4 linked regions of the Arabidopsis thaliana genome follow. The protein of the gene in region 4 interacts with the protein of the main gene of each other region in a pairwise test. Each region holds a gene or a part of one and is shown on either strand. Other genes may lie near its edges.

What was found.
Region 1: the proteins of NIMIN-2 (region 4) and NPR1 interact in binary tests that used the Arabidopsis thaliana proteins (3 or more experiments, as listed by UniProt).
Region 2: the proteins of NIMIN-2 (region 4) and TCP16 interact in binary tests that used the Arabidopsis thaliana proteins (3 or more experiments, as listed by UniProt).
Region 3: the proteins of NIMIN-2 (region 4) and MYC4 interact in binary tests that used the Arabidopsis thaliana proteins (3 or more experiments, as listed by UniProt).

What each region holds. Positions count from the first base shown.
Region 1 is NC_003070.9:23,850,188-23,859,494, reverse strand, and holds NPR1 (regulatory protein (NPR1)), read left to right. Parts: upstream 1-3,836; 5' UTR 3,837-4,087; coding exon 4,088-4,648; intron 4,649-4,727; coding exon 4,728-5,463; intron 5,464-5,571; coding exon 5,572-5,775; intron 5,776-5,885; coding exon 5,886-6,166; 3' UTR 6,167-6,747; downstream 6,748-9,307. Other genes in the region: AT1G64290 (F-box protein-like protein), read left to right, coding at 1,007-2,101. UniProt on the Arabidopsis thaliana protein: Salicylic acid (SA)-binding substrate-specific adapter of an E3 ubiquitin-protein ligase complex (CUL3-RBX1-BTB) which mediates the ubiquitination and subsequent proteasomal degradation of target proteins.
Region 2 is NC_003074.8:16,529,426-16,535,970, forward strand, and holds TCP16 (TCP domain protein 16), read left to right. Parts: upstream 1-1,753; coding exon 1,754-2,251; downstream 2,252-6,545. Other genes in the region: AT3G45160 (Putative membrane lipoprotein), read right to left, coding at 4,230-4,505. UniProt on the Arabidopsis thaliana protein: Required during early processes in pollen development.
Region 3 is NC_003075.7:9,930,618-9,939,192, forward strand, and holds MYC4 (Basic helix-loop-helix (bHLH) DNA-binding family protein), read right to left. Parts: upstream 5,069-8,575; 5' UTR 4,855-5,068; coding exon 3,085-4,854; 3' UTR 2,709-3,084; downstream 1-2,708. Other genes in the region: AGD8 (ARF-GAP domain 8), read left to right, coding at 6,504-6,581, 6,719-6,837, 7,161-7,593, 7,684-7,959, 8,042-8,167, 8,249-8,350, 8,422-8,529. UniProt on the Arabidopsis thaliana protein: Transcription factor involved in jasmonic acid (JA) gene regulation. With MYC2 and MYC3, controls additively subsets of JA-dependent responses. Can form complexes with all known glucosinolate-related MYBs to regulate glucosinolate biosynthesis.
Region 4 is NC_003074.8:9,468,187-9,474,934, reverse strand, and holds NIMIN-2 (NIM1-interacting 2), read left to right. Parts: upstream 1-3,895; 5' UTR 3,896-4,045; coding exon 4,046-4,414; 3' UTR 4,415-4,578; downstream 4,579-6,748. Other genes in the region: AT3G25880 (NAD(P)-binding Rossmann-fold superfamily protein), read left to right, coding at 4,902-4,948, 5,060-5,215, 5,322-5,343.

The sequences.
Region 1 (9,307 bases), on a different chromosome or scaffold from region 4:
TTTTTTTTGGTAGGGATAGGAATATTTAATTTTGTTATATGGTTTTGTGCTTCTTAAAAGCTTAATGCAAACATTGTTATATGAATATATTTATAAGCAACAAATATATGGACAAAACACGTAAGATGTTACTATTGTTCAGTAACACGTATGTATGTTATTGAGATTATAAGTTTTCATTCATGTCCTAACTAGTCATTTTTGGTATCCTTTAAATCAGAATCTTCCCCTAACTATAGTACTAATTGATCCCAAAAAAGTGTGGGCCAAAAACTTTCTTCAGTGTTTATATATTGTAATTTAACTAAAAAAAATTATTAGTTAGTGTGATGAAACATTTAACAAAAGTATAACTAGAGTTTTTTTTCTTCTTTTAATTTCAATATATTATCTTAAAATTTAAAATTACTAAGGAAACTAAGAAAGTACTAAGATAACTAAGGAAATAAAAAGAAAGATAAATCTATGGAAAATGGAAATTACGTAAGTTAATTAGAAATTAAATCTGCTAAACAATGATAATCTTTTTTGTGCTAATTTTTATAAGAAAATAAATTGGCCAAAATGGTGAAATTGACTTGTGGATTATTATACAAGCTGGATGTTTATTAAAAAGAAAGAATTGTCAATTATGATAGAAACATTATTATATAATGAGTTGTTAATCTATTAGTAGAAAAAAAAACAATTAAAATCCAAAGATTGTTGGGTAAAAAAAAAAGTTGTTTCCTAAGTCTAGCAATTAAATTACTGTAGATTTGGTTAAAAGTCTAAAGATAAAGTTTTGGCTTAAGGTATCACAAGTAACATTAATCATGAAAGATTTTATCTTTTGGTTAATTTGTTTGTTTTAGGACTAGCGAAGAAAAAGGCAAATTTTGATACTTTCCTTAAACAAAGAAAGGATATATAAACACTTTATTCATCATAAGTTGTTCTCTACCGATCCTGATTTTTTCATTTCTCATTCAGTGATCGTGCTCATCTCTTTATTCCCGACAGGATCATGAGTTCTCCGGTGATAAATCAAGACATGATCCAAGAATTTCTTTCTTATCTTCCGGCGTCAAAAATCGGAAAATTCAGGCTCCTGAATAAAGAGTGCAACAAGAGAAGCTACGAGTCATGGTTTGTCAATCTTAATCTCCTTAGAACCAATCGTATTTCGGGATACTTCATACAACACTACATAGTAAAAGGACACGAACTTCGAACCAGTTTTGTCCATGAGAGGAGTGATTTACAAAACAATGGAGTCTCCATCGACTTTCTGCCACCCGGAATGATAAAGATCGAAGCTTGTGATGCAAGTCATGGGATATTGCTTTGTGTTAAGTATACAAAACCATCACGTGGATACATAGTCTTCAAACCAACCACTAAACAGTATCAGGTCATACCAAAGCCAGAAGTGAAGGGTTGGGATATGTCATTGGGTTTAGCGGTAATCGGATTGAACCCTTTCCGGTATAAAATACAAAGGCTTTCGCAGTCTCGGCGTATGTGTATGTCTCGGGGTATCTACCATTTGAATCACAGAACTTTTATGTGCGAAGTTTTCGATTCTGATTCGTTTACCTGGAAGAGATTAGAAAATTTGCGTCTACCAAAAACAGACAGATTAATTTTTTCCAACCCGATACAAGTTTCGGGGTTCTTGCATTGGATATCACGGAACAACAATGTGATCCGGTTTTGTCTCAAAACCGAAACTTGGTCCTTCTTCCATACTCCGAACTCTGATGTTTTCTCAGGATTAGTCAGATACGAAGGGAAGCTAGGTGCTATTCGTCAGTGGACAAACAAAGATCAAGAAGATGTTCACGAGTTATGGGTTTTAAAGAGCAGTTTTGAAAAGTCGTGGGTTAAAGTGAAAGATATTAAAAGCATTGGAGTAGATTTGATTACGTGGACTCCAAGCAACGACGTTGTATTGTTTCGTAGTAGTGATCGTGGTTGCCTCTACAACATAAACGCAGAGAAGTTGAATTTAGTTTATGCAAAAAAAGAGGGATCTGATTGTTCTTTCGTTTGTTTTCCGTTTTGTTCTGATTACGAGAGGGTTGATCTGAACGGAAGAAGCAACGGGCCGACACTTTAAAAAAAAAATAAAAAAAATGGGCCGACAAATGCAAACGTAGTTGACAAGGATCTCAAGTCTCAAGTCTCAATTGGCTCGCTCATTGTGGGGCATAAATATATCTAGTGATGTTTAATTGTTTTTTATAAGGTAAAAAGGAATATTGAATTTTGTTTCTTAGGTTTATGTAATAATACCAAACATTGTTTTATGAATATTTAATCTGATTTTTTGGCTAGTTATTTTATTATATCAAGGGTTCCTGTTTATAGTTGAAAACAGTTACTGTATAGAAAATAGTGTCCCAATTTTCTCTCTTAAATAATATATTAGTTAATAAAAGATATTTTAATATATTAGATATACAATAATATCTAAAGCAACACATATTTAGACACAACACGTAATATCTTACTATTGTTTACATATATTTATAGCTTACCAATATAACCCGTATCTATGTTTTATAAGCTTTTATACAATATATGTACGGTATGCTGTCCACGTATATATATTCTCCAAAAAAAACGCATGGTACACAAAATTTATTAAATATTTGGCAATTGGGTGTTTATCTAAAGTTTATCACAATATTTATCAACTATAATAGATGGTAGAAGATAAAAAAATTATATCAGATTGATTCAATTAAATTTTATAATATATCATTTTAAAAAATTAATTAAAAGAAAACTATTTCATAAAATTGTTCAAAAGATAATTAGTAAAATTAATTAAATATGTGATGCTATTGAGTTATAGAGAGTTATTGTAAATTTACTTAAAATCATACAAATCTTATCCTAATTTAACTTATCATTTAAGAAATACAAAAGTAAAAAACGCGGAAAGCAATAATTTATTTACCTTATTATAACTCCTATATAAAGTACTCTGTTTATTCAACATAATCTTACGTTGTTGTATTCATAGGCATCTTTAACCTATCTTTTCATTTTCTGATCTCGATCGTTTTCGATCCAACAAAATGAGTCTACCGGTGAGGAACCAAGAGGTGATTATGCAGATTCCTTCTTCTTCTCAGTTTCCAGCAACATCGAGTCCGGAAAACACCAATCAAGTGAAGGATGAGCCAAATTTGTTTAGACGTGTTATGAATTTGCTTTTACGTCGTAGTTATTGAAAAAGCTGATTTATCGCATGATTCAGAACGAGAAGTTGAAGGCAAATAACTAAAGAAGTCTTTTATATGTATACAATAATTGTTTTTAAATCAAATCCTAATTAAAAAAATATATTCATTATGACTTTCATGTTTTTAATGTAATTTATTCCTATATCTATAATGATTTTGTTGTGAAGAGCGTTTTCATTTGCTATAGAACAAGGAGAATAGTTCCAGGAAATATTCGACTTGATTTAATTATAGTGTAAACATGCTGAACACTGAAAATTACTTTTTCAATAAACGAAAAATATAATATACATTACAAAACTTATGTGAATAAAGCATGAAACTTAATATACGTTCCCTTTATCATTTTACTTCAAAGAAAATAAACAGAAATGTAACTTTCACATGTAAATCTAATTCTTAAATTTAAAAAATAATATTTATATATTTATATGAAAATAACGAACCGGATGAAAAATAAATTTTATATATTTATATCATCTCCAAATCTAGTTTGGTTCAGGGGCTTACCGAACCGGATTGAACTTCTCATATACAAAAATTAGCAACACAAAATGTCTCCGGTATAAATACTAACATTTATAACCCGAACCGGTTTAGCTTCCTGTTATATCTTTTTAAAAAAGATCTCTGACAAAGATTCCTTTCCTGGAAATTTACCGGTTTTGGTGAAATGTAAACCGTGGGACGAGGATGCTTCTTCATATCTCACCACCACTCTCGTTGACTTGACTTGGCTCTGCTCGTCAATGGTTATCTTCGATCTTTAACCAAATCCAGTTGATAAGGTCTCTTCGTTGATTAGCAGAGATCTCTTTAATTTGTGAATTTCAATTCATCGGAACCTGTTGATGGACACCACCATTGATGGATTCGCCGATTCTTATGAAATCAGCAGCACTAGTTTCGTCGCTACCGATAACACCGACTCCTCTATTGTTTATCTGGCCGCCGAACAAGTACTCACCGGACCTGATGTATCTGCTCTGCAATTGCTCTCCAACAGCTTCGAATCCGTCTTTGACTCGCCGGATGATTTCTACAGCGACGCTAAGCTTGTTCTCTCCGACGGCCGGGAAGTTTCTTTCCACCGGTGCGTTTTGTCAGCGAGAAGCTCTTTCTTCAAGAGCGCTTTAGCCGCCGCTAAGAAGGAGAAAGACTCCAACAACACCGCCGCCGTGAAGCTCGAGCTTAAGGAGATTGCCAAGGATTACGAAGTCGGTTTCGATTCGGTTGTGACTGTTTTGGCTTATGTTTACAGCAGCAGAGTGAGACCGCCGCCTAAAGGAGTTTCTGAATGCGCAGACGAGAATTGCTGCCACGTGGCTTGCCGGCCGGCGGTGGATTTCATGTTGGAGGTTCTCTATTTGGCTTTCATCTTCAAGATCCCTGAATTAATTACTCTCTATCAGGTAAAACACCATCTGCATTAAGCTATGGTTACACATTCATGAATATGTTCTTACTTGAGTACTTGTATTTGTATTTCAGAGGCACTTATTGGACGTTGTAGACAAAGTTGTTATAGAGGACACATTGGTTATACTCAAGCTTGCTAATATATGTGGTAAAGCTTGTATGAAGCTATTGGATAGATGTAAAGAGATTATTGTCAAGTCTAATGTAGATATGGTTAGTCTTGAAAAGTCATTGCCGGAAGAGCTTGTTAAAGAGATAATTGATAGACGTAAAGAGCTTGGTTTGGAGGTACCTAAAGTAAAGAAACATGTCTCGAATGTACATAAGGCACTTGACTCGGATGATATTGAGTTAGTCAAGTTGCTTTTGAAAGAGGATCACACCAATCTAGATGATGCGTGTGCTCTTCATTTCGCTGTTGCATATTGCAATGTGAAGACCGCAACAGATCTTTTAAAACTTGATCTTGCCGATGTCAACCATAGGAATCCGAGGGGATATACGGTGCTTCATGTTGCTGCGATGCGGAAGGAGCCACAATTGATACTATCTCTATTGGAAAAAGGTGCAAGTGCATCAGAAGCAACTTTGGAAGGTAGAACCGCACTCATGATCGCAAAACAAGCCACTATGGCGGTTGAATGTAATAATATCCCGGAGCAATGCAAGCATTCTCTCAAAGGCCGACTATGTGTAGAAATACTAGAGCAAGAAGACAAACGAGAACAAATTCCTAGAGATGTTCCTCCCTCTTTTGCAGTGGCGGCCGATGAATTGAAGATGACGCTGCTCGATCTTGAAAATAGAGGTATCTATCAAGTCTTATTTCTTATATGTTTGAATTAAATTTATGTCCTCTCTATTAGGAAACTGAGTGAACTAATGATAACTATTCTTTGTGTCGTCCACTGTTTAGTTGCACTTGCTCAACGTCTTTTTCCAACGGAAGCACAAGCTGCAATGGAGATCGCCGAAATGAAGGGAACATGTGAGTTCATAGTGACTAGCCTCGAGCCTGACCGTCTCACTGGTACGAAGAGAACATCACCGGGTGTAAAGATAGCACCTTTCAGAATCCTAGAAGAGCATCAAAGTAGACTAAAAGCGCTTTCTAAAACCGGTATGGATTCTCACCCACTTCATCGGACTCCTTATCACAAAAAACAAAACTAAATGATCTTTAAACATGGTTTTGTTACTTGCTGTCTGACCTTGTTTTTTTATCATCAGTGGAACTCGGGAAACGATTCTTCCCGCGCTGTTCGGCAGTGCTCGACCAGATTATGAACTGTGAGGACTTGACTCAACTGGCTTGCGGAGAAGACGACACTGCTGAGAAACGACTACAAAAGAAGCAAAGGTACATGGAAATACAAGAGACACTAAAGAAGGCCTTTAGTGAGGACAATTTGGAATTAGGAAATTCGTCCCTGACAGATTCGACTTCTTCCACATCGAAATCAACCGGTGGAAAGAGGTCTAACCGTAAACTCTCTCATCGTCGTCGGTGAGACTCTTGCCTCTTAGTGTAATTTTTGCTGTACCATATAATTCTGTTTTCATGATGACTGTAACTGTTTATGTCTATCGTTGGCGTCATATAGTTTCGCTCTTCGTTTTGCATCCTGTGTATTATTGCTGCAGGTGTGCTTCAAACAAATGTTGTAACAATTTGAACCAATGGTATACAGATTTGTAATATATATTTATGTACATCAACAATAACCCATGATGGTGTTACAGAGTTGCTAGAATCAAAGTGTGAAATAATGTCAAATTGTTCATCTGTTGGATATTTTCCACCAAGAACCAAAAGAATATTCAAGTTCCCTGAACTTCTGGCAACATTCATGTTATATGTATCTTCCTAATTCTTCCTTTAACCTTTTGTAACTCGAATTACACAGCAAGTTAGTTTCAGGTCTAGAGATAAGAGAACACTGAGTGGGCGTGTAAGGTGCATTCTCCTAGTCAGCTCCATTGCATCCAACATTTGTGAATGACACAAGTTAACAATCCTTTGCACCATTTCTGGGTGCATACATGGAAACTTCTTCGATTGAAACTTCCCACATGTGCAGGTGCGTTCGCTGTCACTGATAGACCAAGAGACTGAAAGCTTTCACAAATTGCCCTCAAATCTTCTGTTTCTATCGTCATGACTCCATATCTCCGACCACTGGTCATGAGCCAGAGCCCACTGATTTTGAGGGAATTGGGCTAACCATTTCCGAGCTTCTGAGTCCTTCTTTTTGATGTCCTTTATGTAGGAATCAAATTCTTCCTTCTGACTTGTGGATCCAGCCTGCTTCACAAGGCTCACCAGGTTGTAGTCTCCAAAAATATCATGGAATTGTAAGCAAAAACAATCCAGACAGAACCTGTGATAGACCCAAGGTTCTTGCCACAGTGATCCGGGTTCGTTAATAACAGCAACTATGTCCGGGTGAGGACTGGAGACGAGGCAAACGTCTTTCCTTTGTGTTACCTTCTCTCTGATATTAGTGAGAAACCAACGCCAACTATCAGTGGACACTTCTTTGGTAAGCGGAAAGGCAAGCGGGAAAAAGCAATCATCAGCGTCGAGTCCTGAGGAAATCATCAATTTCATAGGGTACTTGCCGTTCAAGTCTTTTGAATCCACTATGATCAGAGGTCTACAGTGTTGAAACCCTTCAATGGACTGTGGAAACGCCCAAAACGCGCCACCGAAGGATGCAAATTCAGGATTAGGGAAAAGCTCATATTGCAGTCCACAAGTAGCCCATTAGATGAGTGAAATGCAGCCAATTAGTTTAGGCAATACTCTGAAACTCTGATCTTTGATTACTTCCTGTTCTGCTGCCCGCAGCTTTGAAGTTTTAAGCATGTCACCAAACTTTTCAACTCTGCTGTTAGAGTGGGTTGTACCCTGATCAGACACTCAATCTCTTCTGCTGCAAATTACAAGTTGAAGTTTTCCGGCTTAATAGAACAACAAGTATGTGGACCAACTACACTTAGTTATCTTAACAAGTCCATGTTCTTCTATTCAATCTGCCCGACGCGACCAATTGCATTTCCATCTGATGCATTTAAACGTATACTCGTCCTTCTCAATCTCTTGTACTACACACTTTTGCTGCCCTCTAATGGAACACCAGTCCACCGCCTTCTTCAGCTCATCCCTATCTTTAAAACACAACCCTACACGCAATTCATGATCATCAATCCACAAACTAGACAAAGTACACTGTTTTGAAGCACTCGAATCAACAACACCTTTACTTAATAAGCACGCATACGGTAATACCTCTAAGCCTGGCACATTCAAACCTTGTGTGCATCATCTGAACCCGAGTTTTTATCCGTTATTTCTCCATCCCCACCTCCACGAGTGCTACCATTTCCGAAGTCAGAATTTTCCTCGTCTTCAATCCACCCGTTACTGTTACCCACTCCCTGAACCTCTAAACCATTATCTCTCTCTACTTTCACAGATGCATGTGACACATAATCAGTAGCTTCTTGGGGTTGTTGCGTCCTCTGTGTATTCGAGGAACTAGCGGGATATTCTATTACGGATGAACAAGCAGCATGATCAGTAACATTATCAGATGTCGATTTCACTTCCAAATACAACTCCACATTTCTTATAGAAGGATGATAACTTGGAACTTCAAGCATAGTCTCCAAACTAGTGTCGTTCACTACATGAAGAAGTAGATAGATAAAGAGATCCGGTGAAACAACTACAGGATACCTACCAAAATATATTGAACACTGATTTCTGCAGCTGCAATCCAAAAATTGGATAAAGACCATTCAACAATGTACTTAACGCAGTCTTTTGCCTAACCTTGACCGTTTTAGGAGTGGATCCTTCATAGTAAACACCATCAGGACCATACTTGGTAGAACCTTTCTCTCAAGGTTTCCATCGCCATGACCATAACAGTCCTGCAGTGAATTCTAAGAAAAATGTAAAAAATTTTGGCCTAAACTCATAATTCTTAACATACGAAACCATGGAGAACTCCATGTCTAAAAAATAAAGGCTAAAGCTTTTTGGCGACAGAAGCAGATAAATCCATTCAAAACACATAAACTCTAAACAATAAACAGTGATACTCAATACTAAGACTTGTAAAGGTCTACGTAACTCAAAACTGGAGAATTTCAGATCGGGTGTGGCAGAGAAGCTTGGATTTTGCAAGAACTTCAACTAATTTCGCCTGTCGCTGAGGACTTCTCCGGTGACGAAGCCACTTGTCACCGATGACGAAGACACCACCTAACTTTTTCATATGCCATAAATGTCACACCTATTCGAACAAAAATAAAATAAAGTACAATTGGGCCGAAAGAAGAAAGCCCGTTTTGAGCCCGTTTATAAACTAGCAAAACATTCAATTTCATTCCCGCCAAAAATTAACTTTCAATGTCCCAATGATTTAATATTTTGTTTTTAAGAATCAATATATGCATTAGAATTAGAAAATTGGTAAGTACGAGTTGTAGAAAAGAACTAGTTTTTGCAGGATGATTTTTGTCCACATTAAGCCTTTGCAGATAAGAAACTTGATTAAACAAGCTAAAAACACACATACACATACTATTTGTATATTACGAGAGAGGCATGGATGCGAGAGTAAGAGTAAAAGAAAGCTACA
Region 2 (6,545 bases), 7.1 Mb from region 4:
TAATTCGAACGCTCAATAGTATGTAAGAAGTCATTTACACAGTACCTCGGTAAGTGTTTGAGGGTTAAATATTTGTTGAATTTTTAACATCACACTAATTTAGAGTATAATCTAAATTATAAGGTATACGTATGAAATCATAGCTCAATGATGATAGAATTCGTTAATTATTCTCGTAAAAGTGAATATTTGATTTAAAATGAGTCAAAATATATTTGATTTGACGAATTCTAAAAGTGTTCCGCTTGAGTTATAGAAACATGCTCAAAATGATGGTGATGACTTTTTTTTAGTTCTTTATTTGAAAAGTCAGTTTGGAAATGAAAACAGTAAGGCTGACCAAACAATATACAGTATGTTATCCAACTCTTATCCGTTTTAAGAAAACAAAGTATGTGTAAGAGTCGGGTAATATGATATCAGGTTATTTCTAAACCATCTGTCTTGTAACCCATCATTTTACTTGGATATATTTTCTTACATACAAATAATTTATTATAATAGTTTAGACATGTCAATTGGACTAGTCCAGTCTGACAAAGTCCAGAAAATTCGAATATATTTTATTTAGTCTGGTTCGGTTAGTAAAAATTTTGAAATAAAAAAATTTGAACTTATATTTCAAGATCTGGTAATAACAGGGACAAGACTTTTCCAGGTTTTTTATGTTTTTCTTTCCAGAAAAAAACAAATTTATAATTTATAATATTTCTGAAAGATGGATATATGAACAAAACAAATCAGTTGAAATTTAAATAACCATGAAAGCCAGTTTATTTTCAAAAAAAAAGGTTTAAAATCAAAAAAAATAATCTAATTTTTTTATTTAAACTCATAACAAATAAAATATAAAATCAGAAGATTTTAATCTAGACAGTCGAGCCAAGATTTGTTTTTTAGATTTATAGTAAGGCACAATTGAAAAACTAGGTTTAGGGTTTTCAATACTATTAAAAAAAACAAAAACAAATATTCCAATTAAAGAAAAATATTAACAAAAGAAAAGTAAAAAAAAAAATTAAAATTTTTTTAGGCCGGCTTGAATCTGGTGGGATTAAGCCTCAAAAACTTTTTATCCCGAATGGGTTAGCTTAAGGGAATTTTCTGGATATATATTTTTAAGTCTGAATCTCTATTTTCAGAATTGATAGTCCGGGGAATTTGACCCTAAATGAAATATAGTTTGATAAATAAACAAATAGACAATATCTGAAGAACAAATTAACCGTCCAAAAAAAAATATGCGAACTCCTATCCAAACACCTAGTTTAAAAATAACAATATAATATTTTAAATAACAATGTTGGAATATCATTAATTTCTAAGGAAAAAAACTAAAACCTTAACTTTAAAAAAATTAAAATAGGATAAAATAGGACTATACTTGTACAGTTGTATCAGTAAATAATAATTTCTGTAAACTGCCAGAAGAAAGGTTTATTTTCCTTTTTTTAGTGGACCTATCAATTAATTATTCCAATATAACTTCTTTTTTTCAGGTCCACTAAATATATTTTCTATACTACATATTATATTACATGATAATATTTCATTCTCAAATATACCTATATAAATTTAAGATTTCTTCTATTTACCAATTAGTTTAATTATTAGTTTGTTACACCATTATTGTTTTCCATACATAACATAAATAGAAATAGAGTTTTCTGTAACGTTTCTATATAATCCAAGTGAAACAAACATATTTTCCACTTCCATTTACAAAAGAAAAAGAAAAAAAAAACAGAGAAAAATGGATTCGAAAAATGGAATTAACAACAGCCAAAAGGCAAGAAGGACTCCAAAAGACCGCCATTTGAAAATTGGTGGCCGTGATCGTCGCATTCGGATCCCGCCGAGTGTTGCTCCCCAACTATTTAGATTGACAAAAGAACTCGGCTTTAAAACCGATGGTGAAACTGTCAGTTGGCTCCTCCAGAATGCCGAGCCTGCCATTTTCGCAGCCACGGGACATGGTGTCACCACCACCTCCAATGAAGATATCCAGCCAAATAGGAATTTTCCTAGTTACACCTTTAATGGTGATAATATTAGTAATAACGTTTTCCCTTGTACGGTTGTAAATACTGGTCATCGTCAGATGGTGTTTCCGGTTTCTACAATGACAGATCATGCACCTTCAACTAATTACAGTACTATTAGTGATAATTACAATTCCACCTTTAATGGTAATGCTACCGCCAGTGATACAACATCAGCAGCAACAACAACAGCCACAACCACAGTTTGAGCTTGTGAAGGAGGAGACGGCGTCGCTGAGAAGGCCAATTTGGAGTCTTTAAAATAAATATTGGAGATTTAAGAGTGTTCAGTTCTGGACGTTTTAGTTCGTTTCTGTTTGCTTTTTCTTTCCTCTTCATGTTTTTCAGTTTGAGAGTTGAACTAGGGTTTGTTTTAGTTCGATCGGTATCCATTTGTCTTTTTTTCTTGTATGCTCATGTTTTTTTAAGATGAATAATAATACCTAAAATTAATTATAGATGTAATTTAAAACTGTTTGTCCATGTTTGAAGTTTAGTAGAGAATTTGATTTCAACAATGGATTAAATTAAACTCTTCACAACAAATTTGATTCATTTTTTCTTTTTTGGACACGAACAATTTCGTTGGTATTCTAGAATAAATAATTCTGTCATAATATTTACCGAAACATAACTTTTATGTACAGTTATTTATTTCCGTTTTCTAATTTGTCAAAATTCGTTTGTCTTTCGAACCTAAAGGTTCCAACGGTTATGAAAACATTAATTAAAAACGGATATCAAAAACTATAATATAAATAAATTAAAGAGATAATAAAAGGAACAATTGAGTAAGAATGTGGTTTTATATCTGTTAAAGAAATTTCCAGCTCACACTTAGCTGGACAATAATTATTTAAGATTTGTTTCTGTATTTAGCTTCATACATCTATTTTAATATTTCTTAATACACAGATATATATTTTAATATATATATATATATATTATTTTCAAGATTCTCAAGGAAAAAAAAAGAAAAAAAAAAGGAAGGAAAACTAAATCTAAAGAATAAGAAACTAATTTTTGTGTAAATAAAAATTACTTTAATAAACTTTTAATAGTTTTCCCTTAAATTCTTTTACTTTATAGATTGGTTAATATGTATTTAGAGAAAAATACTATTTAACCTTTATTTAGATTAAAAAAAAAAACTTGAGTAAGAAAATGGTTTAAAATTCTTAAAGAAAATTCCAGCTCACTTTAAGCTAGAAAAAGAGATTATATAGTTTATAGTATAAAAATAAATTTAATCATACCATGTTTAATAAAATTTGAAGAAAAACTTATTTTCTTTTTCCATGAATAACAAGATTTTTCTTAACAATTAAAATTTCTTTTAGCAACATATATTAATACTTTAGTTTTCTGTTTTTTTGTTGGACATGGGTTCCGCCCCATTCCAAAAAGCCCGGCCCAAATATAGTTAGGCCCATAAGAAAGAGACTTGCGTTTGGTCCGTTACACAAGCTCAGCCCATTAAGTATCGTCAATTTGCTGGGAGCAGAAAAGAAAAATCATCCCGAGTTCATGACCGCATATATCTTCCCTATAAAAGCGGAAAAACACTGTCGAGAAAGGATCCCGAATTTCACGCTGACACATATGTAGAGAGTACATGTAATCTCCTTCGTACAAGTTTCCCCATTGAGTTCCTAGGAAGCCTTTTTTTAATCGTTAGTACGTACGAACATCTTTCGAACCAAACGCCTTGTCCGTCATTCTTGCACCTTTATTCAAACGAGTTGGATACATTGTCTTCTCGGATTGTCCTTGTAAACTCGTACCTTCACCTTGTATAATCTTGTATTCGCCAAACCTAATTCGTCTTATAAGAGATTATCCGTCCTTCTCCTTAAACCTTTACATGAATTGTATGATTTGAGTATCAACAGTTTTTGTTTAGGGAACTACGGTTTCAGCTTCAAGCAACTCTGACGGTTCTAATGGTCATCGATGGCCAAAAAAGTGCAAGAAAGTATTTTTCAAAATAGAATTACTCAGTTATACATAGGGAACAAAAAAAAGATAATACAATAATCGAACATAATTAGACATTCTTAATAAAGCATTAAGAGGTTCAGATTTATAGAAGGATTGCCTCATATTCATAGGTTTTATTTTTATAATTTTTTTTTTCTTTAACATCTATATATTCATATTGATATCGTTTTCGCGATTTCTTTTGAGTTATCCACCACCACCACCTCCTCCATTATTTTCGCCTCCAGGTCCATAGTTGTAGAAATCTTGTCTTGGGATATAATGGTGATTCTCCACGCTGCTTCTTGGGTGCTCTATTTTCTCAGTAGAGTCTTCTTCTTTCCCTATGATCATCTCTCGGGACACTTTTTCGCTTTCTTGATTAGTTTCCCGGGGAATTATATTCCTTGCAGCCAAACATGAGCTTATAATGACCATCATCACCATAATAACAACCACAACATGCTTAGAGTTTATCCCCATATTGGTTTTATTATGAGCTGCAAAAGAAAGAAAGAATAGTCTTTACATAAACAGAACCTTGAAGATCTTAGTATATTGACATGAAATGAGTATAACTTACCTTTGCAACTAATCGTAACAAGCGTTGATGGGTTTAGTTAAGTACCCTTAAAGGGAAAAAGATAAGAGTTTAAGACATTGATATTTATACATGCAGGAGAATAGGGTTTTTGTTATGGTGGGTTGACTATTTGAGATCATATTTTAAAATTATACGATTTAGGTACGATGTGACCCCCGGTGCCTAGTGGTGAGACAATCACAAGTGGGAGAGGCCTCTTATTGGAGAATTAAATTTTTTCTTAAGAAGGAAAGAATTGTGATGACAAAATGATGAAGTTGGTTGAAAAAGGGTTGTCTATTATTGGCACTACGAATAGGGAAAACCCACGTTACTTTATGGATTAGCATTGTATTAAGTGGTGCTTTTACAAAAGTGTAAAAGTAACTAGATTTTATCCCGCGGTATACAATTTATCTTTTTAAAGTTAGTATAATATTTTTTTTGCAAATTGTATCTATTTATAATATATTTTTATTTTATAGTTTACAATTGTTATTAAGTAACGTCCTGCCAAACCCGTCCCGCCAAATCCGTCCCGTAAAAAAACCATTTATTTATATTAATGTTGATCTTATTAAAGATATGTTTATAAATCATTGTCTAAATATTTTTGTCGATGCGGGACGTTGAACCCACACATTTTTTGCTAATTGGTTAATATATGTTCATTTTTAAAATTTTGAATCATAAAATATGACGGAAAAATTAAGATTTTTTTAAACTCTATATATTATATAATGATGTTAAAAAATTGTAATATATCAAACTTTTTATAAGTTTAAATATTAATAATGTTTTATAAATTTTAAATATATAAATAATAATATTTAAAAAAATAATATTTTTGTTTATAAGGTAATGACATAATAACTCTAAAAGCAAGGATTTAGAAGATTTAAATCTTTAATTAAATATTTTCATTAATAAATAATTAATGTCAGTGACATGACATTGTAAATAAATTCAAATACAAAATTTATTTATTTAAACAAAAAAACGTTTAGTAAGAATAATATTTATTTAACAAAAAACTTTATTTTAAAATATTGTTAACAAATATGTTTATGCTAATTTTAAGGGATTGATTTGAAGTTTGGTAGGATTAAATTTGATTCATAATATGATTGACAATTTAAATCAAAAATTTAAAGTAAAATTAATTATTTTGGAAAAAAGATTTAATGCTAATGGCATTAGATTGTAAATAAGTCCAAGTGCAGGATTTATTTGCTAAAATGGCTGCAAAAATGTATATATAGATTAAAACTTTTCTAAAACACCTGAGTGATTACTATTCGTGCATAGGATACTTTTCGAATTGATTTTTTGAGATTTGCTCGGACTAATAGGTCGTCAAAGGAGGCATTATTTCCCATATTCCACCTCCCAAAGAACATATTCTAGTACGACATTTGTTACCGATCATCGGAGGATTAAAATCCATTTGTTCTCTGGTTGATATAATCGCTACCCTAATTGGTTCACTAAATATCCAGCAAAACGACATTTTCACCAACACGAGTTGAAGATGTGTTTTTGTATACTAGAAATGTCTATGAAGACCAAGTGTCGTTAGCTAAATTGGTAAAAACCCTGGGCGAAACTTAGAGGTCGCTGGTTCGAGTGACGCTTGGGACAAAATTAATATTACATGTCGTGGTTTCGGGCCTAGGAGGATTACGGGTTTCGGCCCAAAACCTCTTAGTATTCGAAAAAGAAAAAAAAATTGTCTATGAAATGACTTTGAGTTTTGCCCCTAAGAGACACTATAATGCGGATCCAATGGGCGGGACTAACAATGTATTGGTCCTTTCGAGCGGTCGATAAATTTTAACGTCTTGATCATAGAGTAATTTTGGTGAGACTTGTCTACATGTTGCTTCTAGATTGGAAAGAGGAAAATCACTCACATAATTACGATGAAATAGATTAGATAT
Region 3 (8,575 bases), on a different chromosome or scaffold from region 4:
TGGTTGAGCCAATTAGAAGATCGATATTTTGAGCATCCTCACCTACTTTAATCATTATCATCGTTAACGTCAAATCTTTCTTTCATTTTTTTAGTTACGACAACGAGATCTAAATCTGAATAATATTTATATATCAAATTATACGTTGAAATTATCATGTTATGGAAAGTCTAATGGTTTATTAAATTATCAGATAATTAATTAGCAAAGTAGGTATATCGAATTAGACTTTTCCCTAGAGACAATGTGCCAAATACCTAATATATATTTAGGTGGTAGAAATGTATAATATCAAATATTGGGATAATCAAAAAATTTAGTCGAAATGACGATTGTTGTAAATAACAATAGCATGATACAATTATATAACTAAGTATTTTTACTCATCTAGTTATGAATGAAAGATTCAATAAATGTTGTTGTATGTACGGAAGACTCAATAGCGGTCACAGCTCTCTTGGCAAAGACAACAAACCACTCCTCGCTCGAGTCTTCAAAGTCATCTTCATCGCAAAACGATGATAGCAATGACTAAAGAGAAGAATTAGAGAGCAGTCTAGTAGATGGACAGTGATTCCTTACGAAATGTAGTGCATACATTTGAAACTGCTAAGGAGTAGATTATAGCCTATAATAATTTAGAAATTTCTAAAACCTTTTGACGCTCAATTAGGGTTGGACACGTTAGATGTTGCGTAATGTCCTAATTACGTTTTGTGTTAAAAAGTGTTTTTTTTTTCTGTGTGATATCCTTTTGTAGATTTTGATAAATGATGTCTCGACTTATATTTATAAGAAAGATCTCACCAAGGTTTAGATACCGAGTATTTAACTTATGGTGTTTGGCGTATTCACATGTTGGCTATTCGCATGAATAATGCGTACTGCGTAGTATGTTTTTTTTTTATAAAGTACTACTGCGTAGTATGTATGTTATGTATGACAAGGCAACAATCCTCTAAGGAGCAACAATCCTCTAAGAAGCAACAAAAGACTTCTCCTGTTCCATCTCAGTCCTATTGACGTATCTGCGAGAATAAGTTCGTGCAATGAAATATTTTGTACTCTCTCATCAGGAAATGTTTTGTTGTGAATTTGCTAACTATTCATTAAGTTTGTTGATTGACGCTATTCCGCTAACTCTCGTGCTAAAACTGAATTTGTCCATTCAAGAATCAAGCCTTTGTATATATATATATATATCTGATTTCTCTTAAACGATAGATGTAATGAATCATATCGTTTTAAATAATGACTAGCCTTGTTATAAGCTAATTTCTTTTCGGCAGCCCATGTCACATGACACATGCTACTTCATTACACATGAATATATTACATATAGCTACTAGGCTCGAATGGTTTCAAACTTCCAGCTTTTGTTGGGCTTTTTGGGTTTTAGGTTTTAAGAAAATCCAAAATTTAATTTTTCCTTTTTCGTAACAAACTTAAGAAAAAAACGGACTTCTTTAATAAAGAAATCTCAAAACAAACAGAGACGATGGATTTTATCCTTTAAAAAGTAAAATCTGTAACAAATTGTTGATATTATATTCTTTTAAAATATATATATACAAAATGAAGGGTGATGGATCAGTTTAAAAAATTCCAAATCCGCACACACTTTGGAGCATCAAATAAAGTACTCTTGACACAGACAACCATGCAACAACATTATACTATTGGTAAGAAAATTTAGCAAACCAAAGGGGTGGATATTCGATCGTCTTGAAATCTTTATAATACTCCATTAGAATGTATGCGTACTATTACGGCATGATAACTATGTCAATAATCTGCCACTAAACAGTGTTTTAATCTAGTCCAATTGTAATCTCTATTGTAATCAAATTGCCATTATTTAATGTACATTTGGTAACTAATTGTAATCTGAATTAGTCTATTTAGTACATCTTTTACGTACAATTAATCTAAAGTTATCCAGAATGAGAAAACGATCATCAAACAAAGTATAGTTAATATTACATGTACAGATGATAAATGTCTCCTTTCGTTCTTTGTTTTTATTTGGCGATAATGTGCCCTATAATTTTAAAAGCGCATGCTTTCTTCTTATCACTCACACGTTCTCTTCGCACTGTCACTCACATTTTCGAGGAGATTATTGCTAAAATGTTTGGAAACAAACACAATAATATATGTTGCAGAAAAATCTCTTTAATAATCGACCACACATGTCTCCACGATTTTTTTGTATGATTTTAACTTTTTCTTCAAAGATTCATAACCTCGCTTTCCCTCCCCCACAACCCTTTTAAGACATCTTATGTTTATATCCCCATGTTTCATTTTGATTTCACCATTTTGGACCTTTATGACATATATTGATTTTTTTTTATTTTTTTAAAGGGTATTATTCTAGTGGTTTCACTTCTTCTGTCAATATCAAGAAATCCATTTAGCATTTGCATGTTGTGCATCATGATTTATGCGACAAACTTAATTACTCTGAAGTAATCTATGGTTCAAAATACTATTTAGAACGATAATGATCATGTAACATCCACATAAATTTTGAGGTCCTACATTGGAATCTCTAAATAGCTGTGATTGATTTAAATTATCCCTATTGAAAACAAAAAAAAGTAGGTATATTCGTTCCTAACAAATTAGATGCCTCTTTTGATGCCAACTTCCCAATGACTAGTCCCAAATGATGAACACAAAAAACTCACTTGAAAGTGAAATACTCAAACTTTAACTCAAAAGACAACAAAAAACTCCAACTTCAGTCCCATTTGTCTTATTTCTAACAAAAGCCTTATTTACATACATACACCAACAAACCAAAGACTTAACCATTGATCAAACACATTTATTTATCTCATGAAACAACAAACCCCAACCTAATCATATACTACACTAAGAATCCTCTCTAACAAGCATTCAATAGCAACAAGTGGGTACTACAAAATTACCCTTACACAATAGAGTTTACAACTACATTCACTAGAGAAACTTGTGTGAAAGGTTTAACACTTTTTACCGCGGCTTATACTATGATCGTTGTTTTCGACTTTTCGCAGTATTCTCCGGTGTATTAGCCCTAAAGATGCTGACTTCAATTCATGGACATTCTCCAACTTTCTCCGTTAGAGCAACCTTGAGTTGATCTTGCGTGAAAAACTGATTCCCCATTTTCACAGTCGCTTGTTGGATCATAAGATCATTCACTACCGATAAACTCGCATGATTCACTTCCAAATCCAACTCCTTAAGTGCTTCCATGAACTTAGCACCAGGATGATTCCTCTTACTACATTGAATCCTTATCATTGCATCCCAACCAATAATCTTCACATCAACCTCCATCTCTATCAACACACTCGATTCTTGATTCAAACATTTTCGATCTTTTACCGAACTTTTCGCATTTCCCGCTTCTTTATTCATCACATCAATCTGCTTCTGCAACTCTTCTTTATCAGATTCAGCCTTTTGCAACTTAGACTTAAGCTCACTGATATACGAAATAGCATCTCCTAATAGAGAAGCTTTATCCATCTTAGACACATTAGGAACCACAGCTCTTAAAGAATAGAATCTCTGATTCAACTTCTCTCTTCTCTGTCTCTCTGCCTCTACATGATTCAAAGGCTCTTCTCTTCCATTCGCCGGTTTTCTCCCTCGTTTCCTCGGTTTCTTCTCCGGTTCAACCACAACTCTGTTACTCTCAGCTTCTTTAGCCACTGAAGCTTCAAGATCAGAGTGATTCGAGTCACATGGAAGAACAGAGGTAAAAGAAAGCATCCCTTCTTCATTATTCGAAACCGGTGATCTCTTCTTATTACTACTATCTTCTTCTTGACCATTCTCAATCCCATTCTTGAAATTCACCATTTCACAAGATTTCAGAACTTTAGGGTTAGGGTTTTCAACAGAGCTTCCATTACAAAGCTTAGAAATTGGTTGAGAATCAGAATTAGAAGTTGAGTCATTTCCACCATTATTCATCACCGGAGCAGCTACAAGACCAGAGTCAACACCATTAGGTTCACTAATCCACAAACCTGGATCATTCTCTCCTTGATCTGGATTCAAATTAAACGCCCAAGAACCAAATTCACCACCACCATTGTTAAAATTGAAAAAGGTGTCAACTTTATCAACAAGATCTGAACTTTGATGAATAATCTCCGACGAACCAAGCTCAACGACACCATTCTCTGTCGCTACACACACCATTGTTTGTAACCCATAAATCTGACCTTGACGAGCTCTCTCACAACTTGATCCAGCTAAAGCATTAGAACCAGATAACCAAATCGTGTCTGAATTTGAGAAAGCTTGACCAGGTAAACCAGTACCCTTGACAAAGCTCTGTGTCATTGAAACTAAGAAGAACCATTCAGTATCTGTAACTTCTTCATCTCCAGCTTCATCTCCTCCTCCTACACCACCGGAGATTAAAGAGTTGAGCTCTCTAATCACTCTCTTACGATGCTCTTGTTCAGCTGCACTAGCTGGATTTGATTTCTTCTTTCTAGACTTCTCTTCTTCTCCTTTGTAATAACCATCTCCCCAACCTAACAACACTGTGTTGTTGTTGTTGTTGTCTTCTCCGGCGAAACCGTGAGATGATTGCCAGAACACGGCGTAAGTCCAGTTCTCGTTTGCTCCTTCGATTAAAGCTTGGAGACGTTGCTGGAGATTATCTTCGTTGACTTGAGGAAGAGGAGGAGGAGGAAGTGGAGGAAAAAGAGAAGAATGATCGGAGCCGCCGCCGATGAAAGCTTCCATTACCGATGCATCGTCGTCGGTTGACCAGAGATTTGTTGTATCCGTTTTTGATTGGTTGAGATGGTAATCGGTTACTTGAACATTCGTCGGAGACATAACAGTTCTCTGACGTAGTTATAAAAGAGAAGACTTTTTGTTTTTCCGGTGAGAGACAGAGGAGAGAAGTAAGTTCTTTAAGCAAAATATTTGTGTTTGGTTTGATTGTTTCGGGAAAAGGAATCTGTTTATATTCATTTTTTTTTTTTAACTCTAAAGAAAAAGAAATAGTACTTTTATTTTCACCAAATATGAATTATTGATTGAGTTATTTCTGAAGTTGGGTTATATACATAACTTGATTGAAAACAATTTTTTTCTGAATAGTAATTGTTTTACAAGAAAATTACTAATCTATGTAAGAGAATCGGATCAAATTTGTCAAGGAGCCTTTTACATCAAAGTTGATAATTAAGAACAATTAAAGAATGAAAATGATATTTCACTTACAATAATGATCTTGTCTCCCTCACTTTTGGTATTGGTGTCAATATCTGCTTTTCTTGTGATTAATCCCATCATTTAATTCTTGTAAGCAAGTAGCATCAATTAATTTAAACAATGAGTTTGTAGAATTGCAGTTGTTCTTTGAGGCAGGAAAATATGATTTAAAGGGATTAAGGGAGTGTTAACACCAAAGATTTGGATACAACATTTATATACAAAACCTATAAAGCAAATATTGTAGACTTGTAGTTTAACATTTTCTTATAAACATATTTTTGTTGGCTTCGTTATTGGACACAACTTTTTGCAATGATAAAGAACAAAAAAAAGACATGGGTGATTTTGATATCAAAGGTGAAAGAGACGCAAGAGCATAAAGGAAAATAAAAGGTATAGTATTAAAACAGAATTAGATTTAATTACGAAAATTATACGACCACACAAAAATAATCACATTATGTCGTGTGGGTCTCGTGTTTTTAGTGGCCAGATTTCATAATATGCTTTCTTTTTCAGTGAGAGCAAATGCCCAAAAATGTTGGTCTCTCTATGTTCATATCCGACGAAACTATAGTGTCTACTGTACAGTGACATTTCGGAATCGCATAAAAGCAAACAAAACAAATTAAGCTGGGCTTTACTTTATATTGGGCCTCACACATTTTGGGTAGTTAATAAAACTAGCCCGCAAATATTTCACATTTGACATTTTTTAGTGTATGGTCAACAACAAGTATAGCGAAACTTTTAGCATATAATATGTGTGAGACATATTATGGAAAGAAGGCAAAAATGAAAACCGTTAGTTAGTTTGAAAACCTGGAGTTATAAAAAGTCGTATTTTAATTTACTAATACATGTTAACTTCAGATATTAAAAACAAATCCTGTACGTATTAAACCATATGATAAACATAATATTAATACGAAAAATGTATAACACACGATTAGACAAATTAGGAAGTAATCTTTGAATTGAGGTTTAAGAAAAGGTGAAAATGATAAGCTTTCGTCCGTTTTATATCATCCATGTTGCTTCAGAAACGGAATTTACACACTACGTGTCGTTTCTACGTAATGCCATTTTCGTAATTTCTAGAGTTTATTCAGGGTGTTTTCGTCAGTCTAGTCAGATCAAATGTTTCCATCAAACGTTAGTACTGTTTCCTTTAGATTTACAGATTTTGAAGAAGAAAGATTTCAAATTAAAAAATCTTTCAAATTTCTTCAAGGAGGTGATCAAATTGAACAATTTGATCTACAATGGCTTCTTCTTCTGCTGACAATCTTACCGACAAAAACATTGTTTTCAGAAAACTCAAATCAAAATCTGAGAACAAGGTAATCAAATTTTTTTCTGAATTCTTCTCTTTCTTTGAGTATCGTCAATTTGATATTGTGTATGTTTAGATCTGAGAGTTGTTTGACTAGATCTTTGATTCATTTATGCTAATTTTGGTTTTGATTTGCCAATTTAGGTCTGCTTCGATTGTAGTGCGAAGAATCCAACTTGGGCATCGGTTACATATGGGATTTTCCTCTGCATCGATTGTTCAGCTACTCACCGGAATCTTGGTGTTCATATCAGCTTCGTCAGGTAAACAATTCATCATCTGATCCAATTCTTCGGCATTACTCTAGCTCAGATTTTGGCTAAGGTTTAAGCTTTTGAGGCCTTTATAAGGGAATTAGCTTAAACCGTGCTCAGGTGTTCAGAATTGTTGGCTAATGTGTAGCATTACGTTGACTTTAGTGTGGTTGAATCATCAGATTATGTTTTAAGGTTTCAGAATTGTTGACTTCAAAATTTCACCAGTGTCTTGAAATTAGACTCATTCAAATTATCGATTCATTGACTAGATAATATTGAATAATGCCACATTACGTTCTCAAGATGCTACCTTTTCCGTTTTTGTATAGATCAACGAATTTAGACTCTTGGAGCCCGGAGCAGCTCAGGACAATGATGTTTGGTGGTAACAACCGTGCTCAGGTTTTCTTCAAGCAACATGGATGGACTGATGGTGGCAAAATTGAAGCTAAGTATACTTCAAGAGCTGCTGATTTGTATCGGCAGATTCTTGCTAAAGAAGTTGCGAAAGCGATTGCGGAAGAAACTAATTCTGGTCTTCTGTCATCTCCCGTTGCTACTTCTCAGTTACCGGAAGTATCTAATGGGGTTTCTTCTTATTCTGTCAAGGAAGAGTTACCTCTTTCGAAACATGAAGCTACCAGTGCTACTTCTTCGCCTAAAGCTTCTAATACAGTTGTGCCTAGTACGTTTAAGAAACCTATTGGTGCTAAAAGGACAGGAAAAACTGGTGGTCTTGGTGCAAGGAAGCTTACTACTAAGGTAAGTCTTAGGGGTATTTTTTTGGAGCATTTACGTTTTTGTTCTCTTGTTCAGATTAAAAGATTGGATTTTGTTTTTGGTGAAATGTAGCCAAAAGACAATCTCTATGAGCAGAAACCGGAAGAAGTTGCACCGGTTATTCCCGCTGTATCATCAACAAATAACGGGGAAAGCAAATCATCAGCTGGTTCATCATTTGCCTCTCGGTTTGAGTACAATGACGACCTGCAATCTGGAGGACAAAGCGTTGGTGGTACACAAGTGCTTAACCATGTTGCTCCACCAAAGTCGTCAAGCTTCTTTTCGGATTTTGGAATGGACAGTTCTTTTCCCAAGAAATCAAGCTCCAACTCTTCAAAATCTCAAGTAAACACATAATTTCTCAGTAACAAAATTAATAAATCGAAATTCCAAACCTCTTCTAAACCATTTCTTTTTCTCTTACTAGGTTGAAGAATCAGATGAAGCAAGAAAGAAGTTCACAAACGCAAAGTCCATATCTTCAGCTCAGTACTTTGGGGATCAGAACAAAAACGCTGATCTGGAATCAAAAGCTACTCTTCAGAAGTTTGCAGTAAGTAACAACATTCACCACAATCTCAAAGGAACATATAACAACATCTTCCGATTCTAATGCCATTGTTGGAAATTACAGGGCTCAGCATCTATCTCAAGCGCTGATTTTTACGGTCACGACCAAGATGATTCCAATATTGATATAACAGCTAGTGATCTCATTAACCGACTTTCTTTCCAGGTAAAAGATCCATACACCTGAATCTCTGGTTCTTCTTCACATTTTTAACCTTTTGACGAATTTTTGATCAGGCGCAACAAGATCTATCGTCGCTGGTGAACATAGCAGGAGAAACAAAGAAGAAGCTTGGAACTTTGGCTTCTGGTATCTTCAGTGATATTCAAGACAGAATGCTGTAAGAAGACCACGAGTCTCTCACATGTTTTTGATATTGACAGAGAAAAA
Region 4 (6,748 bases):
AAGAGATTCTGAAGAAAAATAGAGAAAAACTCAAAAATTTTAATTAGAAAATTTTTTAACGATGTGTCTTAATTGGCTTAGTTAACGAGAATTCGTGATTAAATTAAACGTCAACATAAAATTGAGGATTTAAATCACCAAATCGAGAGTTTATGTTTTAAACCAACGAAAATGGTAAAGTGATGATTTAAATGACATTTTTCCCTTTTACAATATGGTAATAAAACATACTATTTTTGGAATTATATTATGGATATATGGTAAATAAATTTAGTTTGTGAAAGGAATAATACTTTGTATCGAACAAGTTATTATTGTATTGTAATACATTATTCATGAAATTTACTTCTCACTGTTACTGCACTGTGGGTCTTTTAGCTAAGTGAAGTAATAGAATTTTATTTTATTAATAGTATTAAACTACAATAACATATATATTCGTTTTTTAATTAAAAATAAATAAAAGAGAGTGACTAGTAACTACTCCTTCATTGTTTAGTGAATTATTCATATTATTTGATGTGATGTATACTTGTATTCTATAGTAATTTAACTCATTCTCCCAAATTGACTCTTAAACAAAAACATCAATTATAGATTCTGATAATTTTTTCGGCATTCAACAAAAATATCTTACAAAAGATCGACGAGTATAATTCAATACCATTAATTAACATAACAATTTGTGAGGTTAATTAATTACATTAGAGGTAGTTTACTTTGCAGTATCTTGATTGTGCTAAAGAAGAACAATTTCGAACGTGGAGGATTGTTCCATCCCCACATTTGCTAGTTGCTACCAACCGAGGGACTTTTCATCATAATTTACAAGTCTTCTTCCCATCTTTAGTGGGTATAAATAAATACAATTTTTTTTTTTTTTTTTTTTGTGCACCAAATAAATACAATGTTAATGAGAATAATTCACAACTCAAAACGTTTTTGAATAACTCTGTTTTATTTTTTCCACACTCAAGCATTTCATGAAGTCAATGGTCTCTTTTTGGGTCAACTAAGTCAGTGCTTAAGTTAAGTTACTCTGTAATATTCCGTAACATAACATGATCATGATCACTCTAATAACTTGCAAAATCATTTAAGTTCGGTCCGATTTGAACCGATCAATTTAAACTTGTATTTTAGAGGTTAAGCTCATCCATTATTTGATATCTTACACCATGAACGAACATTTGGTTAACCTAAAGAACACAAAATAAAATAAAAATTTCTAACATTTTTTGCTCGATTCTATTTGGTTTCGGTCCTAATAGTTTTGAAACAACTTAAAACAGGTCGCTTCCAGATTAATCCAAAAAGTTAACATCTCTAGATTAAAATTTATATATCAACTTCAAATTTTATGATTTTTTTGTAAGGTTCATTACGATTCGATCGATTAAAAATTTAAAACATTTTTTACTAAAGAAATACCAAAAAAATATTGAAAGTGTCATTTTCTTTCAATTCCATAAAACGAAAGGAACTCCTAATTTCCAAAATTTTGTTTATTCCACAGCTTTTTTAACATATCGCTCGCATTGCCACATTGGTCCAGACCTACTCCCCTTTTTATTTACAAGATTGCCACTTTAAAGAGTTGGATAATTAATTTAGTTTAAACTAAACATTTTTCTGCAACAATATAGTAGGAAAACAAAAAGCTAGAAGAAAAAAGAAAACAGTGAACGCACGCCTGAATGCATGTGATTGCCTACCCTACGTGAAGAAAAGACGATGCAATTACAGAAGTAAGAAAAACATTTTCTCCACCAATATACAATGACCCTTACTAATTATTACTATTTCAACAAAACGTTTCCTACGTAAGGAAGGCAACAGATTCATTTGATGTCATTTTTCAACGACAATAGACAAAAAAAAAGTAAAGCAATAATAAAGTAAAGTTGTACACTACATATATACTTTTTAAAAATTGTTGAAACACAAAATGTGTGCAAATTTATAACAGTGTATACAAAATGGATGTTCAACTACGTCAAAGACTATTCATGAAGAAAAACGGTCGTGACAAAATTTAGACAAATTAACAATATATTAAATAAAAACTTTTAAAATAATTTTAGTATTACAGAAACATTATTAGATAAATTCGCAATATTTTTGTTCTATTGAAAGAAAAACAAAAAAGAAAGAGTAAGGGATCATTACATTGATTTCACACATACAAGTGTCGGATTATCAGTGTCACGTGGTGTTTAAAATGTAGACATTTCACCATGTGGACTAATACATTCATAAATAATGCAGCCATCGACGACGACCATCAAGCAATTTTTATATGTGGAAAGTTTTTTCAAAAATTATTAGTAAGTGGACACGTCAGACAAAACAGAGAGTTGAAAAAAAAAAAACATAAGTGTAGAGAGAGCGAAAGACACAAGTGGAGCTGGTCGGAAGTTGGAAAGTTGGAAACAGCTTAGCCGCCCACGTCGGCCCTACAATTGATTCGACGTTGTTAAGATATAAAGCCCAATTATAATGTACTTAACTAAAAGGCTTTTACTTTAGGCCCATATGTAGATCTTTGTTTTCTTTTGTTAAAAGTTAAAACACCAATATCAATTAGTGCTTACATTATTCGAAAAATCATTACAAATTTACGTGTCATTTTAAATTGATAGTGGAAATAAATAAATAAATAAGACTAGGAATAATAATCGCAAGAAAATCTTCCCCACGTTAACGATGATCACAATTCACAAGTTCTTAGTCTTCCTTATTTATTTGTTGTTTGGCCAAATTTTTTTGGTCTTTGTTAAATTATAAAAATATAGATCTCTATGTATATAAAAATATGGGTAATATTAGAAACTAACTATGAAATGGAAAAGAATTGAGAGAATGACATTGTGTCAGAAAAGTTAGGTAAATAACATTTTCTGAAAAAGAGAAAATACAAAAATATCCTTGTGTTTACTTATTTTTACAATAATGCCATTGGCTTTAGTTATAAAGTTTATATGTATTTGTCTAAAATAGCATGATATATTTACAAAAATCATGCAATTCTTTAAAATACATACAGAATATATATACACGATATATATGTTTCTCTGAAATAATGTGTTTCTCAGAAATAGCACGAAATATTTATAAAAAGCATGCAATTCTCTTATAGATCGCGAAGTTTAAAAAAACATATAGAATTGTTACAATATTACATGGGTTTTTATTGGATAACATGACAAATATTTATTTATTTCATGAGTTTTTATTGGATAGCATGACAAATATTAATATATCAGTGTTAATAACATGTTTTGTTCTTAAAATACATGCATTTTAAAATCAGACATTTGTTTTAAAATCAAATCTAATCTCTTATATCACAACGACATTGACGGAAAATTCAGGTAAAAAGAGAAAATAAAGAATGAGAGATAGAGAGATTTCTATGGAAAAAGAAAGAGAGAACATGTAGGTGAACAAAATAAAGAGATATGATGATATATTTTATGAGAGGTGGTGAAGATTATTTTAGGAGAGGGAGAGAGAAATAGAAAAAGAAAATGACATGGTGAATCTGAAGAAGATGAATTGTGTTAAAGATGAAGAGAGAAAGAGAACTCCATGGCTAAAGTCTCGTAAAGAAGATGAAAAAGAAACAAAAGAAGGAAGAAGAAAGAGAAAGGCTAAAATAGACTAACTATTGCCAAAATTTCTGTAGCCGACAAATACTATTTGGTCCAAGGTTATTTTGTGTATTCTTTTGAAGTCAAAAGTTATTTCTTACATATACTCTAAAAATATAGCCGATACCAATTTTTCCACACATGGACTTCCTTTATTCCAAAAGTCAATAAAGTGTGACGTCATGATACTTACGCTTTAAAACATCGCATGATGATGTCATTAGCATCAATCTCCACCGTCCAATTTATTTAGTTGTTGACAATATCGACCGTCTAAGTTCCACACCGACGGCTATAAGAGTTTCATTATAAATTTTAGCAAAATAAAATCAGCAAATAATTTTTTCTTGACTAAGCTTAAACGACGCCGTTAACATTTTCTTCTGGCTAACATGAACAACTCTTTGAAGAAAGAAGAACGCGTAGAAGAAGATAACGGAAAATCTGACGGTAACAGAGGGAAACCGTCGACGGAAGTTGTTCGGACGGTAACGGAGGAAGAGGTGGATGAGTTTTTCAAGATATTACGGAGAGTACACGTGGCGACACGAACGGTTGCGAAAGTTAACGGCGGTGTTGCTGAGGGAGAGTTACCGTCTAAGAAGAGGAAACGGAGTCAGAATCTTGGGTTGAGAAACTCGTTGGATTGTAACGGCGTTCGAGACGGAGAATTCGATGAGATTAATCGGGTCGGGTTACAGGGTTTGGGTTTGGATCTGAACTGTAAACCGGAACCAGACAGCGTTAGTTTATCGTTGTAGACTTGTAGTCCTTCATGTTTTTCCCCTTCTTACAATAATCAATTTTTTTTTAACTACAATACTTTTGAAAAAAATGGTAAAAGAAGATTATTAACATGTTATCCAAATTTCAGATTCTTCAGTTTTATTTTATACGTCAAAAGAGAAGTTATATATTTGCAAAACTACAAGTCAAACAAAAGCTATTTAAGCGTTTGACGTTCCTAAACAACATAAATTTTACTAAAATCAATGTTTTAAAAAAGTGTTGATGGTAAAGATATCAATTGGGCCTTTGCCTGGCCCGTTTAGTAATATTGCAGAGTAGGTATGGGCCTGTATAAGGGAGTCCAAAAAAAGAGCGGGCATTGCGGGTTGGGTGCGTTTGGAACTTTGGATTGTGGATTAGTCATGGTTTATCTATTAATGTCTGCGGACTTGTGGACGACGCGCTTGTTCTTCTTCCTCTGTTTACGACTTACGAACATATGATCTCTCATCTCTAACAATGATGGAACCTAAAGCCAAGTACGATCGTCAACTCATGTATACTATGTTAGTCTCTTCGAACTCTACATTTGTATTATTCTATCGATCTTCGAACGAATCTTGTTGGGAGGAAATTTTATGAAGTAATCGTTGATTGATTAGGATTTTGAGGTGAAGTCAAGGGACTTTGGAAGAAGCGAGTATCTGTTTACTCAATTGTGGTCCTATTGGTTCCAATGCCTTGAAGAATCTCGTCCTTGGTGGTGTTGGTAGTATCACCATCGTTGAAGGATCCAAGGTTCTAATTGGAGACATTTGGAAACAATTTCATAGGTACTAAGTAATGACTAGTTTTTGATTTTTTTTGTTGCTATTTTTAGATGCTATTTGTGTAGTTAAATAGTTATGACATCTCTTTTTCGTCGTTGTTTGGTTATAGCTGGTGGAAGATTCAATGGTGAACCTAGATATTAACGATGGAGTAGACTGAACAGTTTGTGTTTGGTGATAACACAGAATTACAAAACTTGTGGAATAACCATTTATTACGGTCAAAGTCTCTTGTCTTCAAAGGCATGCAATAGAACAGAAGTTCTCCATAAGCGAAGGTTTCAGAGACGAGAACAACACTGTGTTTCAGAGACGAGAACAACACAGTGTGTTTCAGAGACAACTAGAACAGAACAGGATTGCGGGCCAGACCGTTAGACCAATGGACATTGCGAGGCGAATATGGGCTTCGATTGGTCGCATGTGGTCGTTGGCGGACCGGACCACCACTTATGGAAAAGAAGCACGGGCCATCACGGACCCCCCATTTGGTCGCGTGCTCGCCCGTCTGACATCCCTAGTTGATCGTCATCTAGATTTTAGACGTTTATGTGATATCTAAATAACCGTTTTGGCTGTCTAAAATTCCATAAGTTTTATTTTAGTTTATTTTTTAGTTTTCAACTATATAAATTTAAATTATAAGTTTTAGCTTTGTATATATTGTTTGTTTCCAACTATATAAATTTAAATTATAAGTTTTAGCTTTGTATATATTGTTTGTTTCCAACTATATCAATTTAAATTATAAGTTTTAGCTTTGTATATATTGTTTGCTATGAATTATAAATGGTTTTATCTAAGTTTTGTTTATAATTTCATATTTTTATTTTTCTAAGAGATAGTTTTCTATGAATTTTATTTATAATATAATATTTATAATATGTTATGTTGTAAATGTGTAGCCGCTTAAAATCTCCTAAATCATGATTAGACGTTCTAGGCGTAGATCACCACCTCTTAAGTAGCTAGTTAGATTTAGCAGATTATCCAGTTATCATGCAGATTAATTGTATTAGATAGATTTTGGTAAGATAGGTGAATTTAGCCTAATGCTTTTAAATTTATGTATTTTAAAATTAGTGAATACTGAATACTCATATTTCTTGCTTATGTATTTTGATTAATTTAAAATATACAATTTATTTCTATTAACTTGTTTTTATTATGTTATATTAATACAGAAATATATTTTATTTTTATTTGAAAACTATTTAAACCTCTAAAAAATCGTCTATCCACTAATTGACTAATTGTTCTAGCCCTTTAGGCATTAAGCAGAGAGTTATAGTCCATTTATTGTTTTCTTGACATTGGAAAATACTAATAATGCGTAATTATATTAAAGGGCTTTTGGACCTTGTAAGTTGTAGGTTGGCAGACGAAATTGGACAGAAATTTAGCGCAAGACGAGAATTGTGCAAGTGTGAATCACATCCATCCATTTTAATATGACGTGCTATCTCGTTCTTTCCTATGATACTTTAAGTTAATTGAATAAGTCAAAAGTGGATGATAAGATATAGAATTACTAAC